2 linked regions of the Lonchura striata genome follow. The protein of the gene in region 1 binds, or shares a complex with, the protein of each later gene. Links are inferred from orthologs where the notes say so. Each region holds a gene or a part of one and is shown on either strand. Other genes may lie near its edges.

Region 1 (8,004 bases):
GGGGCAGAAGTGCAGTGCAGATGTGCAGCCAGGGGAAGTCAGCCAGAAGTGAGAAGCAGCTCTTCTCTTTCTTCCCAGACAGGGCTTGGGCTGGGGGGGAGAGACAGCACCACAAGTACAGGGTGCCCAGCACTCAGGGTTTGCCTGTGAGGAAGCCCAAGCTCTGTGCAGAGCTGGCAGATCTGGAGAAGGGGATTTCACAGAATGCTAAAGGACAAACCCCCTGTTCCAACACACAAGTGCAAGGAAGAGCCGTGCTTGGGCTCGATGCTCAGCTCAGGTTCCAGGATGATCAGGGAGCCTGGATGCAGCCTGGTTGTGCTCCCACCTGGAGAACACAGAGGCTGCCCTTTGGTGGCCCTCAGGAACCTTCTGGCAGCCTTTGCCGTGGGTGGTTGCCAGGCAGAGAGCAGCCAGGGCAGCTGCAGGTCCCCCCTGAGCACTGGGCAGCTCCAGGTGATTCCTGCAGCAGATCCCAGCCCTGCCTGGATGCTCAGTGGCCAGTGCTGACTGTAACAGTGGAGGCACCATGCCACCTGCAGGACTTGCCCAAAGCAGGCCAGATATTGCTAAGAGTAAGGTTTCATAGGCCAGCACACAGGTTGCTGGGCTGCCAGCATAATTCCCACGTTTCACCTGGACACCTGAGGCCCCTGGGAAATGCCAAAGTGGATCTGGTTTGCTTTGGCAAAGGCAGGGGAACTGCTCCAGGAGCACTTTGGAGAGATGACTCTTGCCTGGGGTGGGAGGAGGCAGGGAAGGCAGCTTGTGCTGGGAGGCCTGCAGTGTCCCATCATTCCTCTTTTCCTCCTTCATGGACTGATTGCACCAGAACTGCAAATCTTGCCCAAAGTGTGCCCTCTCTCCATCTGCTGTGCTGACATCACACTGTTTCTCTGCAGCCCTTCTGAACAGCAGCAGCACCTATCTCCATGCTCTCTGTCCAAATCAGCATGAGGGCAAAGGAAAAAACAGAGTTCAGACTAAGGTACCAAAGAGTTAACACTTTTCTAGGTTTACAGTTGTATTTGTAGGATTTGTACTATGTCACATTTATAGCCATGAGATATTTTTATGCTGTAAACTTTTACAAATACATTTTTAAAGAAGGAGTTTAAAAATAAAGGTGTTTTTCATTTTGCAAAGTCCCATCTCTTCCTTTATTTGCCTGCTTTTGGTTGCTCCCACTCAGATGGGGCTGGCAATACAGCTTAACCCTGTGGTGGGTGAAGGGTAAGCATGTTAATACGCTGTGCGTGACCCCAGTGCTTAGTGAAAGCCAAGCTGGGAGCCAGGCAGGGAGAAGCACTGCAAGGAGCAGCTGAGCCCAGAGACAGGGTAAGGAAAAGAGGCAGGATCTGCCCCATCTCTGGTGACTGTGCAGCATGTGGGACATGTGGGTAGAGGGAAGGATATCAGGAATTATGCCCATGTGTATCCCACTGCCTGGGGTTTGGGCCAGCACTCCCTGCTAAGGACTTGGCCCCTTGGAGCATTGCTGGGTCTGTGCTCAGATCAGGGTGGGGATGCAGGAGAAATGACAGACTGAACAGTGGCTGGGCTGAAGGAGATGGCAGACACCACAGCACTGATTTTTCCATGTAGTTTAACAGCTCAGGGCACTGGGAGGGCCTGGAGACAGCAACAGGGCAGGGCACCAGCAGGAGCCACACTGCAGCACACAGGGCTCCCCATGCCAGCTCTCCTCCCTTCCCTCTAGGATGAGGAGTTCGCTGATACCCTCAAAAGCTGCACCTCCAAAATCCTGGCTCCCCACACCAGCACTCCCTCAGATCCACGTGTCATTCTGCTCCTATCACCTTTCCCAGTCACCTTTCCAGAGTCACTGAGGTCCCCCAGCCACATGAGAGATATCTTTTTTGAGTTTTCTCCTCTCTCTAGCTCAAATTTAACTGCTCCTCCAAAATCCATCTCCAGCTGCAGAACAGAGATGTTTGCACCTGCTCTGAGCCATGTGCTTGGAAAGCCCAAGGTTGCTGCAAAGAGGGGTTTTTGGTTAAATCATATCAGTGTTGACCCTGTTTTCTGGCTACATGATGAAGCCCCCACTGGCAACAGTTGTGCCTCCCTCAGCTCCTGGAAATTCTCTGTGTACCCAGAGGTCCAAGGCATGGAGTGCAGCAGCAAGCATGTCCAAGTCCCAGCAAGGCTCCCCTTTCCAGCACAGCCTGTCCTGGGTGAGCCTTTGCTGGTTTTTCCAGAGTGGAGGTTTGCAGCCTCCCTGACCAGCTCAGGCTGATTCTCCCCAGATATGCTCTGAGTCACCTGGCACGGCTCAGTCAGGGCATTTTTCTCCAGGAGCTGAATCAGCAGGGAGAAAAAGAACCCCTTGTGTCCAGAGAGGCTGCATCAAAGGCCTGGGGAGAAGCAGAGGGGGAGACAGACCTCAGCCCTGAACCCTGCAGGCTCTCACTGATCCCTACCTTGTGCATGTCAGGATGTGCTGGAGTGGAGTCCTGGGGCTGGAAGTGAGCAGGCCAACATGGGGACCCCCAGCAGGGTATTTCCCCACCCCAAAACAAGTCTCCTCTCCAATGATGAGACAGATACCCCATGGGGGAGCTCAGAGAAGCAGAGAGACTGCAGTGACAAACTCTGGAGCTGTGGGGTACCAACAGCTCAGTACCAACAGGACACAGGTGTTCCACGTGTGTCCCCAAAGTGCTGCAGGGCAATTCAGGCAGGCATGGCACCATGGCCAGCTGTGCTCAGTGCTGGGGTCCCACAGGGCTCCCAGCCTGGGAAACAACTGAGCTCCCAGTGCTCCCAACCAGGGCTCTCGGCAGCCTCCATTCCCCCTTCCCCAGCCATCCACCAGGCACTGAGCAATCCCATCTTTCACAACCATCAGGGCCTCTACAGATATTCCTGGGCATCAGGTTGTTCAAAGTAAGGTTGCAGCTTCTCTGGAAGCATCCCTGCCCTGTGCTCAGAGCTGCCTGGGTACCTGAGTTCCAGCAGCACTCCTGTGGCTGAGCTGCTGCTTGCACATAAGATTTGGGGTGCAGGAGGAAGATAGGGACACAAAAAGGGGAGAGACCCCAAGCTTGTCCCAGTGAGCATCCCCAGGTGTGCCCAATCCAAGCTGTCACCTGGGGATCACTGCCAGCAGAGATGCTGTGCAAGGGGCCCCCTCAAAGAGAAGAAGGAAGGTTGAGAGATTGTTTCCCTTCTCTCTATTAAACCTGTCTGGTTTAATACTTACTCACATTGGTGAGTCAGTTCTCTCTGAGTTGGCATTTGTTCCTGGAAAAAGAAAAAAAAGCTTTAAAAAGAAGAAGGAGGGAAACAAACATCCTTTAAAAAGCCCCTTTGGCTCGAAAGGAGGAAAGAATAATCAAGCAGACACCTCCTGTGGCCCAGCTGCTTGACAACCCCAGCTCTGGGCAGGAGCCCCCCAGAGCACCGTGCTGCCTCTAATTCATGTTCTTCTTCCCTATCCTGCCAGGAAAAACTGCTGAGGGGAAACGTTCTTTGGCCAAAAACTGCTTTTCCTTCTCTCTGGACTCCCTCAGGCTCTCCAGCCATCCTTCTGGCCAAAACCAAGAGCTCTCCACGTTCCCATGACTCTTAGTCATCTCCAGCACAGTCAGCCATGCTTTCATCCCTTGGCCCCAGGGCCTGGTCTTGCTGGTACCTCTCTGACTGCCCCCTTTGGAGAAGCCCATTCCCCTCCAGGCTGTGGAGGCTTTCAGGGCACTGCAGGTGCAGATTCAACAGCCACCTCTGCAGATATTTTGGAACAAGCCTTCTCTTTCTGCCCATGGTTTGTCGTGGGGTTCCTGTCACCTCCTGCTGTTGGGGCTGCTGCTGGGGCAGCAGAGCCCCTGGCTGGACCTTCCTCCCCTGTGCTCCCTTCCCAGTGCTGTCAGGTGGTGGCTGTCACTTCCCACCCCAGAGCTGCTGTGAAGAGCCCTGAACTTCTGCTGCAGTGTGAGGTTATCCAGAGGCAGAGCAGGGAGCAAGGGGCGCCCTGTGTCTGACAGGATCTGCTAATCCTGCTGACTCCGTGTCCCTGGGAGAACTGGCTGACTTCGAGCCTTCCCTCACACCTCTTTTGGAAGACCCACAGTCCAGTGGAGGGTTAACAGAGTATCTGATGTATTAATTACTAGCACTGCTAATTAGCTAATTAGTTTAATTACTGCTTCAAGGTGCCTACCAGGTTATCATTACAGACCAGCTCCAAGCAGCCTCCCCACCAGCAAGGCAGGATGGCTGGGTGGGATGGGCTCCTGGGGAGGAAGGGTCTGTGCTCGAGCCCTGCCTGGTGCTGACAGGGTCACTCTGAGCCCCAGGCTTGGAGCTACTGGGACAGGAAAGAGCAGGGGTCCCCATGTGCCCCCAGCCCAGCCAGAAGGGGTCTGCAAGCAGGACTCCAACACGTCTCCCTGCCAGGGAGGGTGGTGAAGCTGGCATGGAGCTTGGGATGATCCTGTGTGGCCACAGGATCCCTCTGTGCACCAAGGATCACACTTTTGGTTAACACAAAATAATTTGGCACCTTCACAGGCTTTTTCCCACCTGGGAGCTGCCCTGGGCTGAATTGCCTTTGTGGGCCTGCTGTGAGGAACCTGCCATGTCCTCAGGTCCCAAAGCCAGCAAGAGCCACTGGGCCTGAGGTGGAACTTGTCCTGCTGAAATAAAATGGAATCCAGGACCTGCAAGTGTGGGGACACTTTGTGTCCCCATGTGAGGCAAAAGTGTATAAATGTCCCTGGGGATTAGAGTGGCAGAAGCCAAAGAACATCAGGATTATCCCAAACCCCAGCATGGTGCAGTGGCCCCTGCCAGTCTGGGGATGGACTCCTCTCTGAGACCTGAGGGGATCCCAAAAAAGGGGGACCCTGCAGCAGGGTGTGCACGTGGCCCCACCTCTGCCATGGGATTTGTCACTGGTGACGTGACAAAGCACGGCCTGGGTTTTTTCCCCCTGTTTCAAAAACAAACAAAATAGGGAATTTGTTAACTTGTGGTCAGCTCAGAAAGGAGAAGCTCCTGCCAAGGGAGCTCTGGGGACGGTGGCCACGAGAAGAGGCACCCACTGCTTGAGAGGATCCTTCAGCAGCATCGGCTCCACGCTGGGGACACCACGGTCCCTGGGGACATGGGTCCTGCTCTCCTCCTGCTGCTCACCACAGCTGGCTGCTGGCATGGTAAGTGCTCCCAAAGCCCCACATCACTCTGGGGAGTTTTGGGATGCGTGAGGGTTTCCTGCTCTGAGTGCTCCATTCCCTCTCGGGTGAGGAGGGGTGATGGCCTTGGTGGGGACGGGGCTGTGCTGAAGGTGGATTAACAGACACGCAGCTCCTGGAGGTGGAGGGTGAAGCTGGGCTCCCAGTCCTGTGTCCCAAAAGGCTGCTGTGGGCTGGGATGGTCCCTGCTTGCTGCTGCATGAAGTGGACACTGCTGTGAGCAGGTTCAAGGGTCCTTGGCATGGGTAGGCAGAATGTGTGTGCTCTGAGGCACTGCAGGGAAGACACCAGCACTGGAATTCTCTGCAGGCTTGGCTGGAGCAGCTTTCTGAAGGTCATCCAGAGCTGGCTGCAATTAGAGAGGGCAGTGGTGGAAAGAGGGAAAGGTGTATTGCTGGTCTGGAGCCTGGCTTGCTCTTGGCTGCCAGCAGCCCTGCCAAGGTAAGGCCAAGGAGGATGGAGAGGTACATGTAGCATAGGCAGAGCCTTGGCTGTGGGGAGATGGGAAAGGGAAACTTCCCACTCTTTGGGTCTGGACAGGGTTTAAGATGAAAGAATGGTTCAGCAGCAACTGTGTCCTGAGGGAAGCTCTTTCCAAAATAAAACTTTGCTCAAATGGGGATGGAGCTGGAGATGTTTGGTCTGCAGGTGAAGGAGTCAGGAAAATCAGGTGCACTGGCACCTTCCAAAGCACCTCATGCCCAGCTGGAGTGTCTGAGGATTGCTGGTTTCTGGTGGTGCTGGCACACACAACAGGGCTGTAGAGCCAGGATGTGATGGAAATAACTCAGCCAGCCAAGAAGGGAAAGGTGAACACGCCTGTTTTTTGAGGCTGCAGAGATGACCAAGAAGTGATAACCCACCAACCTCAAAAAAGGGTCACTAAGCCTGTTTTGAGGTTTACAACCAAAGTGGTGGTAACCAGTATTACTAATCTTGCATTTTGAAGTGCTGGGAACCTCTCAGGTCCTGTGTGGCACTCACCTTAATATTCCTTTTGAGCATACTTGGGAACACAGTGAGACTGTGGTGTGAAGTCTTCCTTGGAAGAGGACAACCTGTGGGGAAAGCATTTAGCATGGGGCAGGTGGGCAGCAAATCCTTCTTGGGCCACTGCAGCGCTCCTGTTTTCAGCCCAGGAAATTTGCATCCCTCTCACTTGTTTCACTTCAAGTGATGTTTGCAACATGTTGAGCATAATTTTCTAGATCTGCTGTGCTGTGAACTGGGTTGTGAAAGATTCAGGGTTTTTAATTTCTTGTGGTTTTTTATGATAATAGGGACTAGGCAGGTGTAATGCAGATCTGTGAGAGATCATAACATAGCTTTTAGGATCTCTCCAAAGGTTCCTTGAGCCACTGGCCAGTGCCAGATCACCAGCTCATGAGGCACTTCTTCATGAATACACATCTTCAAGAGGCACTGTCTGCCATGTAGGCTGTAGGACACACATTTGTGTGAGTACCAGCACTGCTGGCCATTTGCAGCACAAAGCTGCCCCAAAGAAATAGCCTCCAGCTGGATTCAGAGCCTGACTTCCTTCTCCCACCTCTTAGATTGCAAGTGCATCTTCTTGAGTACCCAGGGCTGATGGAATGTGATCGTTGTGATCTGGGCTCTTGCTGAGGGAGGGAAAGGGGCTCAGATCAAGCAGAGGAAATGTTTTAAACTTGATCATCTTGCATCTGTGTTCTTGGCCATCTTGAGATGTATTCCTGGGGATTTTGTTTTCTTATTGTGGTCAATCTAAACCTCTGAGGTAGAAGCTCCAGCTGTGATGAGCACACTTTTCTCCATCCCTGGTTCCCCAGACACTGTAGGTGACTTTGGGGAAGGAGTCCTCAGAAATCAAACTTTTCCTTGCTGTCATTGAGGGTGGGACAAAGGGAGCTCAGGTCTGGTATGGGTTTCTCTCAGGACTGGACCTTAGCCTAGTTACTCCCCAGAGCTCACTCAAAATCCTGGTGGCTGGGTTCTGTGGTGAGGATCCTGGACACTTCTGTCGTACCAGCCTTCACTTCTCCTTCCTCACCAAATGCTCAGCAGAGGAAAGCAGTGTTTTGGCTGGCATAGGAGAGGCAGGGACAGAGCCTGCAGCTGTAAGGAGAGGTTTGGTTACACAACCCAAATGTGGTAAAACCTCTGGCCAGCAGTTACTGGCAGTGCTGCGGAAGCTGCTGGAGAGCAGAAGAGACATCCCTGGGCTTCGTGCAAGATTGCACAGTGGTCAGCAGGGAGACAGCCTCCCCCAGCAGCCCTGCTTCCCCATTCTGGAAAAGGACCCACTGCTCTGACCCATCCCCCAGCACACATGAAGGAATGGGTGCTTAGGTGACCTTCACCTCATCTTGTCCTGCATTTGGTGTCCCTCTCTTGTCTGTCCTCCCTCCACTTGTGTGGTGCTTGTATTGTTGCTGTGAGTCTCTAGTGACAGCCTGAAGGCTTTTCCCTCACTGTTCTGAAGAGCACCTCCCCAGAGCCTTTTCTGGCCACAGCATCTCAGTAGTACCTGTAAGCTGGTGACAACACAGATGACTCCTGTTCATTTTGTTTTCTTCCCTTGTCCTCCTGCAAAAAGAGTCATTTTCCCCATGAAATGGTGCCAAAGCCCTGGATGTGGATGGATAGCCAAAGCAGAGAGTAGGTGAGGGAAAAGAATCTAGAAACAAAAAGTTAAAGCAACAGAAATATCAAACCCCACTAGAAAGCACAGCTTAGCAAAAAGGGAGGAATGTTTTGCCTCAGATATGTGGAAAATATAGCTTTGTAAATTATTCTGGGATATGTT
Region 2 (8,094 bases), on another chromosome or scaffold:
GTTAAAGTGGGATTTGGTCCCTCGGACACGTGCTGAGGTCAGGGGCAGTGTTGAGTGTCCATCACACGGTCTGAGGGCATCCCAGGAAGGGTTTGGCACGTTTGGATGTCACCTTGCTCCTGGCCATGGTGACAGGAAGCACCAGGCGGTGCTGAGGCCTGCCTGCCCTGGGGCATTCCCAAGCTGTTTTCCAAGCTGCCCCCGCTTGTGCCCAGCTGCTCCTGGCACAGCCCTGCAGCCCCAGCCATGGGTCAGGACTGTCCTGGCTGAGCCGGAGGGTGCCAGGGCTGCCCCCACACTGCGCTGTGCCGTGAGCTCGGGGGATGCCCAGCAGGAACGGGACACGCTGGGCGCTGTGGCCCTGCAGCAGCCTCCTACAGGGTGTGCTGGGGATGCTGGGGAGAGCATGAGCACAGGGACATTGCCCCGGGGTGGGCATCGTCCTCTTGCCACCCTGAAACCACAGCTGGTGACACCTCCTACCTCCCCCAGGCTCTGTGGGTGCCCGTGGGCAGCTGCCTGGGAAGGTTTTTGGCTCTGGCCCTGCCACATTCCTTGGTGGAGGGAGGAGTGGAGCTGGAGCCTGACACGACTCAGCCACAGCCACCAGGACTGGGGACACGCCGGTGACCCGCGCGGGGCTGTCACCTGCCTTTTGTCCCTTGTCACCACCTGGCATCCCCCCTGGCACGGACACCCCTCCCTGACCCCGGGGCTGGGCTTTATCTGTGCCCAAGGACCCCCGAGCACGCGCTGGGGTGGTGGGAGGTCTCTGTGGTGGGGAGCCCGGGTCATGGTAACTCTGAGGAGGGACGGCCCCAGCCTGACCCTGCGGCTCCCTGGCTCCCGGCCCGGCTGAACTCCCTGCCCAGGGCTCTGCTCCCATGGGTGCTGCCCCTGCGGCCAGGGGCTGCTGCTGGGGCAAGCCTGAGATCCCCCCGCTGCTGGGAGCTGGGTGGGATGTCCCAGTGTCCCCTAGGGTGTCCCAGTGTCCCTTAGGGTGTTCCTGTGTCCCTTAGGGTGTTCCTGTGTCCCCTAGGATGTTCCTGTGTCCCCTAGGATGTTCCTGTGCCCCTTAGAGTGTTCCTGTGCCCCTTAGAGTGTTCCTGTGTCCCCTAGGGTGTCCCAGTGTCCCTTAGGGTGTTCCTGTGTCCCTTAGGGTGTTCCTATGTCCCCTAGGATGTTCCTGTGTCCCCTAGGTTGTTCCTGTGCCCTTTAGAGTGTTCCTGTGTCCTTTAGGATGTTCCTGTGTCCCCTAGGGTGTCCCAGTGTCCCCTAGGGTGTTCCTGTGCCCCTTAGAATGTTCCTGTGCCCCTTAGAGTGTTCCTGTGTCCCCTAGGGTGTCCCAGTGTCCCTTAGGGTGTTCCTGTGTCCCTTAGGGTGTTCCTGTGCCCCTTAGAGTGTTCCTGTGTCCCCTAGGATGTTCCTGTGCCCCTTAGAGTGTTCCTGTGTCCCCTAGGATGTCCCAGTATCCCCTGGGATGTTTCTGTGTCCCCTAGGATGTCCCTGTGTCCCTTAGGGTGTTCCTGTGTCCCTTAGGGTGTCCCAGTGTCCCCTAGAGCGTCCCAGTGTCCCCGTGTGGAGGGCTGGAGGAGGGGAAGTGGGAGATTTGCTGCGGGATGAAGGCTCCAGCCCCATCACGGCATCCTGAGTCCCCCCTGCTGGCAGCGGGCTGGGGGGACGTGCCTTCCAACCCACATTCCTCCGCTCCTGAAGGAACTGTCCCGGGACCTTCCCACGGGGATTTCCAGCCCGGGCACACATCGCTGCAGCCTGGATTGTGCCGGTGGGATCCTGGCTCAGCTGCAGCACCAGGAGGCTGTGGGACAGCATCCTGGCCTGGCCCTGCGCTGAATCACCGGGAAGGAACTGATTAAGACCTTGCAACACTTTCGTGCTGGAAATAACTTTCTCCAGAGAGGCAGCCCGAGGCTGGCTCTAGGATGCAGCTGGAGGGATTGGATATGCCACAGGTTTTAGCCCTGCTTTGGGGCTCGTTGGCTGGAAAAAGCTTCCCGAAATGAGGGGTTGGTTGGGATGTGCTCTCACTCCCATGGGGAGGTGGGAAGAGAGGGAATTGAGGTCCAGGGAAGCTCCAGCCTTGGCCACGGTGGAGATGTGGCTGCATGGGGGTGGTGCTGGTGTCTGCTCCAGACCCTTTGGAACAGGGACCATCCTGCCCCCTTGCTCCAGCCCTGCATCCTTCCGTGCTGGGCAGCAGCCGTGGGCACCCTGGGGTGCCCAGGAAGCCCTCCAGCCTCCTCCCACCTTTCCCCCTTGGCTGACAGTGGCTCTGGGGGGAGAGGAGCAACTCCTGCACAGCACCAGCGTGGTGACAGTGCCATTGGTCCCAGTTTGCCACTGGGAGAGGGACAACCACCCTAAATTTTGCCTCCCCGGTTTTTCTGGCTACAGTGTGCACACGGAGCTGCTGCCACCTCTGCCACCAGCCCCATTTCTGCCCCGTGACTCAGGGATTTCGGCAGGTTTGGGAAGGGAGGAGGGGCAAAAGCCACTTCCCTGCCAAAAACAAAAGAGGCGGATGCTGCTCTCGCCCTGTGTCAGGCATGAGGCAGATTAATATTAACCCGTCCCTCCATCCTGCCGTCCCTCTGTCCTGCCCTCCTTCTGCCCCTGGCCCGCTGCCCCACAGCTTGTCCCATGACCCAGCATATGACACTTTTCCTGTCCCTTCAAAGCAGAGGGCAATGAGTGTGCGGGACATGAGCAGCCCGTGGCCTCAGCCGGTGTGAAAGGGCCTCATGTGCTGCCACGGGGTCCCCGTGAGTCACCCCTGGTGCTGGCGTCACCCGCCGTGTCCCCGGCGTCCACCCCGGTGTCCTCCCAGCGCGGGGGCTGCGAGGCTCCCAGAATAGCTTGTGATGAAAAATGTCTCAGCGTTTTGGGGAGAAAGGGGTTATTTTGGGAGGACAGCTGATTTCTAAACCTGATTTCTACTCCTTCCCCAGCCTGTCACCCTCAGCACCCTCAGATGTTTATCTGCTGCTGTTGCTAAGGGACACTGAGGGTGACAAGAGCTGGGGCACCCATGTGCTGGTGCAAATCTGACGCTATCTTGGGGCTGTCACTGCTGTCCCCAACTCCAGCTGCTTCCCAACTCTTCCCCGTCTCTTCCAGCAGATCACTGATCCCAACCCATCACTACTGGAATGAGCTCTCAGCTCCAGGAAAACCCCTCAGCAGCTTCTGCAAGCCCAGCAGGGTTTCCGGCCCTGGGGAGCAGATCCCGCTGGCCCCTCGGAAGCTCGGATGTGGTGGCTGTCACCCACACTTGGCCCCATTGTCACCATCCCCTCTTGCAGCCACATGCCAGTGTTTGTGGAGCAGTTTGCTTTCGGTTTCCTGTCAGAATGCCGAGTGCTTGGCACCGCCGTGGATCACCTCGTGGCCACTAATCACTTCCAGTCGCCTGGAAAGCAAACAGGCAGCGGAGAGGAAAATCCCATGTTGCATGGCTGTGCTGGGCCCGGATCCAGCCCCTCACAGATCCCTGTGCACGGATCTGCACCTGTGCACATGGATCTGCTTGTGCACATGGGGACCCTCTGTGCACAAATAGACCATTCATGCACACGGGGATCCATCCATGCACACGTGGATCCATCCATGCACACGGGGATCCATCCATGCACACGTGGATCCATCCATGCACACGGGGATCCATCCATGCACACGTGGATCCATCCATGCCCATGGGAATCCATCCATGCACACATGGATCCATCCATGCACACATGGATCCATCCATGCCCATGGGAATCCATCCATGCACACGTGGATCCATCCATGCACACATGGATCCATCCATGCCCATGGGGAACCATCAATGCACACGTGGATCCATCCATGCCCATGGGGATCCATCCATACACACGTGGATCCATCCATGCACACGTGGATCCATCCATGCCCATGGGGATCCATCCATGCAAACATGGATCTCTCCATGCAAACATGGGTCTCTCCATGCATGTGTGGACCCATCCATGCCCCTGGATGTGTCTGTGCTCATGTGAACCCATCCATGCACACGGATTTGTCCATGTTCATGCAGATCTATCATGCACACGTATGCAGACATCTGTCCGTGCACATCCCTACCAGTGCATCTGCTTGTGCACGTACAGGTCCATCTGTGCAGATGGATCTGCCTGTGCACACGTGGGCTGATCAATGCTCATGGATCTGTCCATGCACATCCTTGCTGATGCATCCATCCCTGCATGCTCTGATGGGTGTCCATCATATGTGTGTCTGTGTGTGTGTGTGTGTGCCCAGGGATGAGCAAGCACACACGTGCAAGGCCCAGAGCTCTGTGCGTGCTCTGAGGGGTGTCCCTGCACATCCAGGGGGGTTGTGTTTATGTTCACACGGATAAAAGTGCCCAGGGGTGACCATACACACACACGGGGGTGTGAGCACACGTGCACGTTCCGAGGGGTCCCCGCGTGTGCACAGTTGTGTGTGTGCGTACACACACGTGCCAGGCTCAGGGCTGTGCGTGTGCCCGTGGCTACCGGCGCCCGGGGTGCCCGTGGCCACGCAGGGGTGGTGTCTGTCCGTGGCGCATCCACGCAGAGGTGTGCGTGCGCCCAGGTGAGCACACACGCGTGTGTTTGCGATAACGGGGGCTCACACACACGGGCCGAGCCGTGCCGAGCCGGTTCCGGGAAAGCCGAGCCGATCCCATCGCAACCGAGCGGCTCCAGCCCAACCCGAACGGCGCCGCTTCGACCCCAGCGGCGGCGAGTCCGAGCGACTGAACGGCCCCAGCGGTTCCGATGGGACCTGAGCGGTTCTGCCCGGAGCCGAGCCGTGCACACGGGAGCCGGCAGTGCCGCTCGGTGCCCTGCCGGTGCTGGCCCGGGCCGGGCCCCGCGGGGCCTGGCCGCCCGCCAGGGCTTTCTCATAAACCACATGCTGCCGCGGCGCTATAAAGGGGAGCGCGGCCGCGGCGGCGGCTCAGCCCGGCCCCGCTCGGCCCCGCCGCCGCTGCCGCCTCGCCCGCTCCGCCCGGCCCCGGTCCCACGGCAGCCCCCATGCCCCGCCTCGGAGCCAAGGTACGGCGGCCCCTCCCGCTCCCCGCGGCCGCGGAGACCCCCCCCAGCCCGGCGCCCGCCGCCACCTGTGCGGGGCCCCCGCGGGAGCGGCGGCCCCGCGTGTCCCCGTGCCCCGCGGTGGGTCCCGTCCCCCGGGGGTCCCGGCTCCCGCCGGGGGATGCTCCAGCCCCGCCTCGCTTGGCCGCGGCAGCCCCGCACCCGCGGGGTGAAGCCGCGGCTCCGGCCCCGGTTCCCGGTTCCCGGTTCCCGCCTCCAGCCCCGTTACGATTCCCAAACCGGGCGTGGGGAGGCCCCGGCCGGTCCCCGGCCCCAGCCCCGTCCCCGGCGGGGCGATGCTGCAGCCCCGGCTCCATTCCCGGACCTGCGCGATGAGGCGCCAGCCCCCGGCGCGGTTCCAGCCCCGGAGCCGCGGGGTGAAGCCCCGTCCCGGTCACCGACTCCAGCCCCGTTCCCGGCTCCAGCCCCGTCCCCAGCCCGTTCCCGGCGGGGTGAGGCTCCGTTCAGCCGTGACCACATCTCGGCGGTGGCCCGGGCGGCATCTTGGAGTTTCACAAGAGGGGAGGATTCCTGGATATCATCCAAGGGAAATTCCCCCCCACTCATCACCCAGGCACCCTGTCCCCTGCCGGTGCCCCGGGAGAGGGGTGCACACCCACCCGAGGGTCCCCTCCGCCCCCACCTCGGGAGTCTTGGCTCTGGATCAAGCCCCGTTTCTCACCGGGGTCCCGCCACGGATCGGGGCCTCCCCGCTTCTTTGCAGGGGGATTGGGAGGGAAATTTGGGACGAGGCCAGAGCTGCTGCATGGAAAGAGCCCGGCGGGTGCAGCTGGGGGGGTCTGGAGGGTGGGAAGAGGATTTTTTGGGGATGGGTGGGTCAGTGTGTCAGATGGGCTCTGGAGAGCCAGGGCGGAGGAGGAGATTTGCAGGAGAGACGGAGAAATGGTTCGGGAGAGGGGAGAGGGGCTGGATCGGGAATGTGGAGGTGGCCAAGGGCCACATTCAGGCGTGTGTCACCGGGCCTTGGGAAATTCCCTGCTGACCTGGAGCTCCTAAAAATAGCAGGATGGGGATAGGCACGGGGTTGGAGGAGCACAGTGGGATTATCCTGCTGGACCGTGGCCAAGTGCCGGCTCCCACAGAGGTGGTCATGCCGGGGGGTGGTGGAGATTGGCAGGGGGCTTGGCATGTGTGTGGCTTATCCCTGCTTCAAACTCTTCCTGTGCCGTGCTCAGGTGTGCCTGCTCCGCTGCTCCCTGCTGTCGTCCCTCCTCCTCCTGCTGCTCCGCATCCATGAGACGGAGCAGAACAGCTACTGCCAGCAGATCATCACAGAGAGGCACCTGGCCGAGCTGGAGGAGCTGGTGAGTGCCCTTCCGGGGCTGTGCCGTGGGATGGGGGCTCATGTGGCGCCAGATGGGCACAAAGCAGCTCTGTTTTAGTGCTGAAATAAGGAAATGGGGCGATCTTCAGCTCCCCTAGTGAAGTGACGGCACCCGGGAGCTGAGCATCCATGGGCACAAGGGACAAGTGGGCACCGCGGAGTGACAGATGTCGTGCCTTTATCAAGGGTGGCTATGGAAAAGTGACGACAGGAGGAGCGAGAGAAGGCGGCAGCAGGAGCGAGGCCGGGAAGGGGACAGGACTGAGGCTGGATGGGCGCAGGGCCGCTGGGGAAGCAGCGGAGGGGCGGCTCTGCGGGCTGTGGTGCTTTCCGGGCGGCCGCGCAGGGGTTAAGCAGAGGAATCCGGCTGCATTCCTGAGTCCAGCTGCTTGCCTGGAAGCTGGGCTGGCAACGGGGCTGTGGGTGGGTGGCAGGCGGCGAGGGGGGCCCGGCCGGCCGGTGGAGCCGACCGGGCTGGGCGATGGGGCCGTCGTCCCGTGTGGCCCGTGGGCAGCTCCGGGCGCCGGCGGCCGCCCCGCGGCACGGCCAGCCCCGGCCCGGCGGACACAGCTGCCGGGGCCGTATCTCTCTCTTCGTGGCCCTTGGCTCACCTCCGAGCGGGGAATCACGCGGATGTTCAGGGGAGAAGCGGGAATCGGGGGCACGCAGGGATTTGCAGGGTTGTCGCAGATTAAATTCTGCCTGCAGCAAGAGGGGTGTGCGGGCGAGAGACGGGAGCGGCGCCTCCGAGTCCCCGGGAGCTCCGCTCGGTGCAAACCGCCGCGTCCGGGCTCGCTTCACCTCTTCCTCTTTAACCACCGAGCTGCGGGGCCGGGAGCCGCTCTGGGCGAGCTCGGCTTCCTCTGCCCGAGCCCTCTCTGCACAACGCATCCCCCGAGGGATTAAAATTGGGTGCGCGGCTGTGGGAGGGAGGGAACGGAGCAGGTTTGAATGGACGATGTGGTTTTCCTGCTGGGGATTGCAGCCCTCTCCTCGCTGATGGAGGAGCTGGCCCTCGCTCCAGCGCCTGCAGGATAATGGAGCAATTGTTTCCGGGACGGCATCCCAGGCTAGGAGGAGAAATGCCGGCCGGCAATTCTGCCAGCCCTCGCCCTCCCAGCCGGGGATGCCAGCCCGGAGGGAGAGCGTTTGCTTAGGGTGGGTTTTTCCTCCCACTGGGGAGGGTGGTGGCGTGGGCGGCCGGCAGCGCTGCGGGTGGGACCCCGGCGTTGTGTGATCCCGGAGAACGTGTGACCCCGGTGTCACGGCCACCTCCTGCACGGCAGGATGCTCTTTTGCAGCCTGGATTTAGAGGAGAGAGTGATGCGGGGGAGACCCGAGGAGAATTAAGCGGGGCTGGGCTCCGCTGTGGCGCTGGCAGGAAGAGGAGGAGGAGGAGGAGGAGGAAGAGAGGCGGGGTGGGAGCAGGCAGGGAAAGGCAGGAGAAGGTCTGTGAATTGGGGAGTACAACATCCTGATGGGAGCAGGAATCCTGAGCTTACTCCTGCCACTGCATCAACCGTAGGGATGTGCCTGTGTGAGGAGGAGGAGGAGTAAGGGATGGGATGAAGCAGGAATGGGAGCAAAGTCCTCCTAGCCCTGTGGATTTGGGGGTCTCAGGCACCCCGTGCC

Evidence for each region.
Region 2: the proteins of CSF1R (region 1) and CSF1 are in contact, whole or in part, in a crystal structure (PDB 3EJJ), measured with the Mus musculus proteins. The link is inferred for Lonchura striata from reciprocal best matches to the Homo sapiens genes CSF1R and CSF1. Residues at the interface, in NP_001032948.2 of Mus musculus: Arg142, Arg146, Leu149, Arg150, Lys151, Lys168, Val169, Leu170, Ser172, Asn173, Val231, Gly232, Phe233, Leu248, Ser250, Asp251, Phe252, Asp254, Asn255, Tyr257, Lys259; in NP_001107002.1 of Mus musculus: His38, His41, Met42, Gly44, Asn45, Gly46, His47, Phe87, Gln90, Asp91, Asp94, Arg98, Asp101, Glu110, Arg111, Gln113, Glu114, Leu115, Asn117.

Annotation. Positions count from the first base shown.
Region 1 is NC_134617.1:6,469,334-6,477,337, forward strand, and holds the start of CSF1R (macrophage colony-stimulating factor 1 receptor), read left to right. Parts: upstream 1-4,986; 5' UTR 4,987-5,128; coding exon 5,129-5,177; intron 5,178-8,004. UniProt on the Homo sapiens protein: Tyrosine-protein kinase that acts as a cell-surface receptor for CSF1 and IL34 and plays an essential role in the regulation of survival, proliferation and differentiation of hematopoietic precursor cells, especially mononuclear phagocytes, such as macrophages and monocytes.
Region 2 is NC_134632.1:1,180,514-1,188,607, forward strand, and holds the start of CSF1 (macrophage colony-stimulating factor 1), read left to right. Parts: upstream 1-5,000; 5' UTR 5,001-5,060; coding exon 5,061-5,081; intron 5,082-6,313; coding exon 6,314-6,442; intron 6,443-8,094. UniProt on the Homo sapiens protein: Cytokine that plays an essential role in the regulation of survival, proliferation and differentiation of hematopoietic precursor cells, especially mononuclear phagocytes, such as macrophages and monocytes.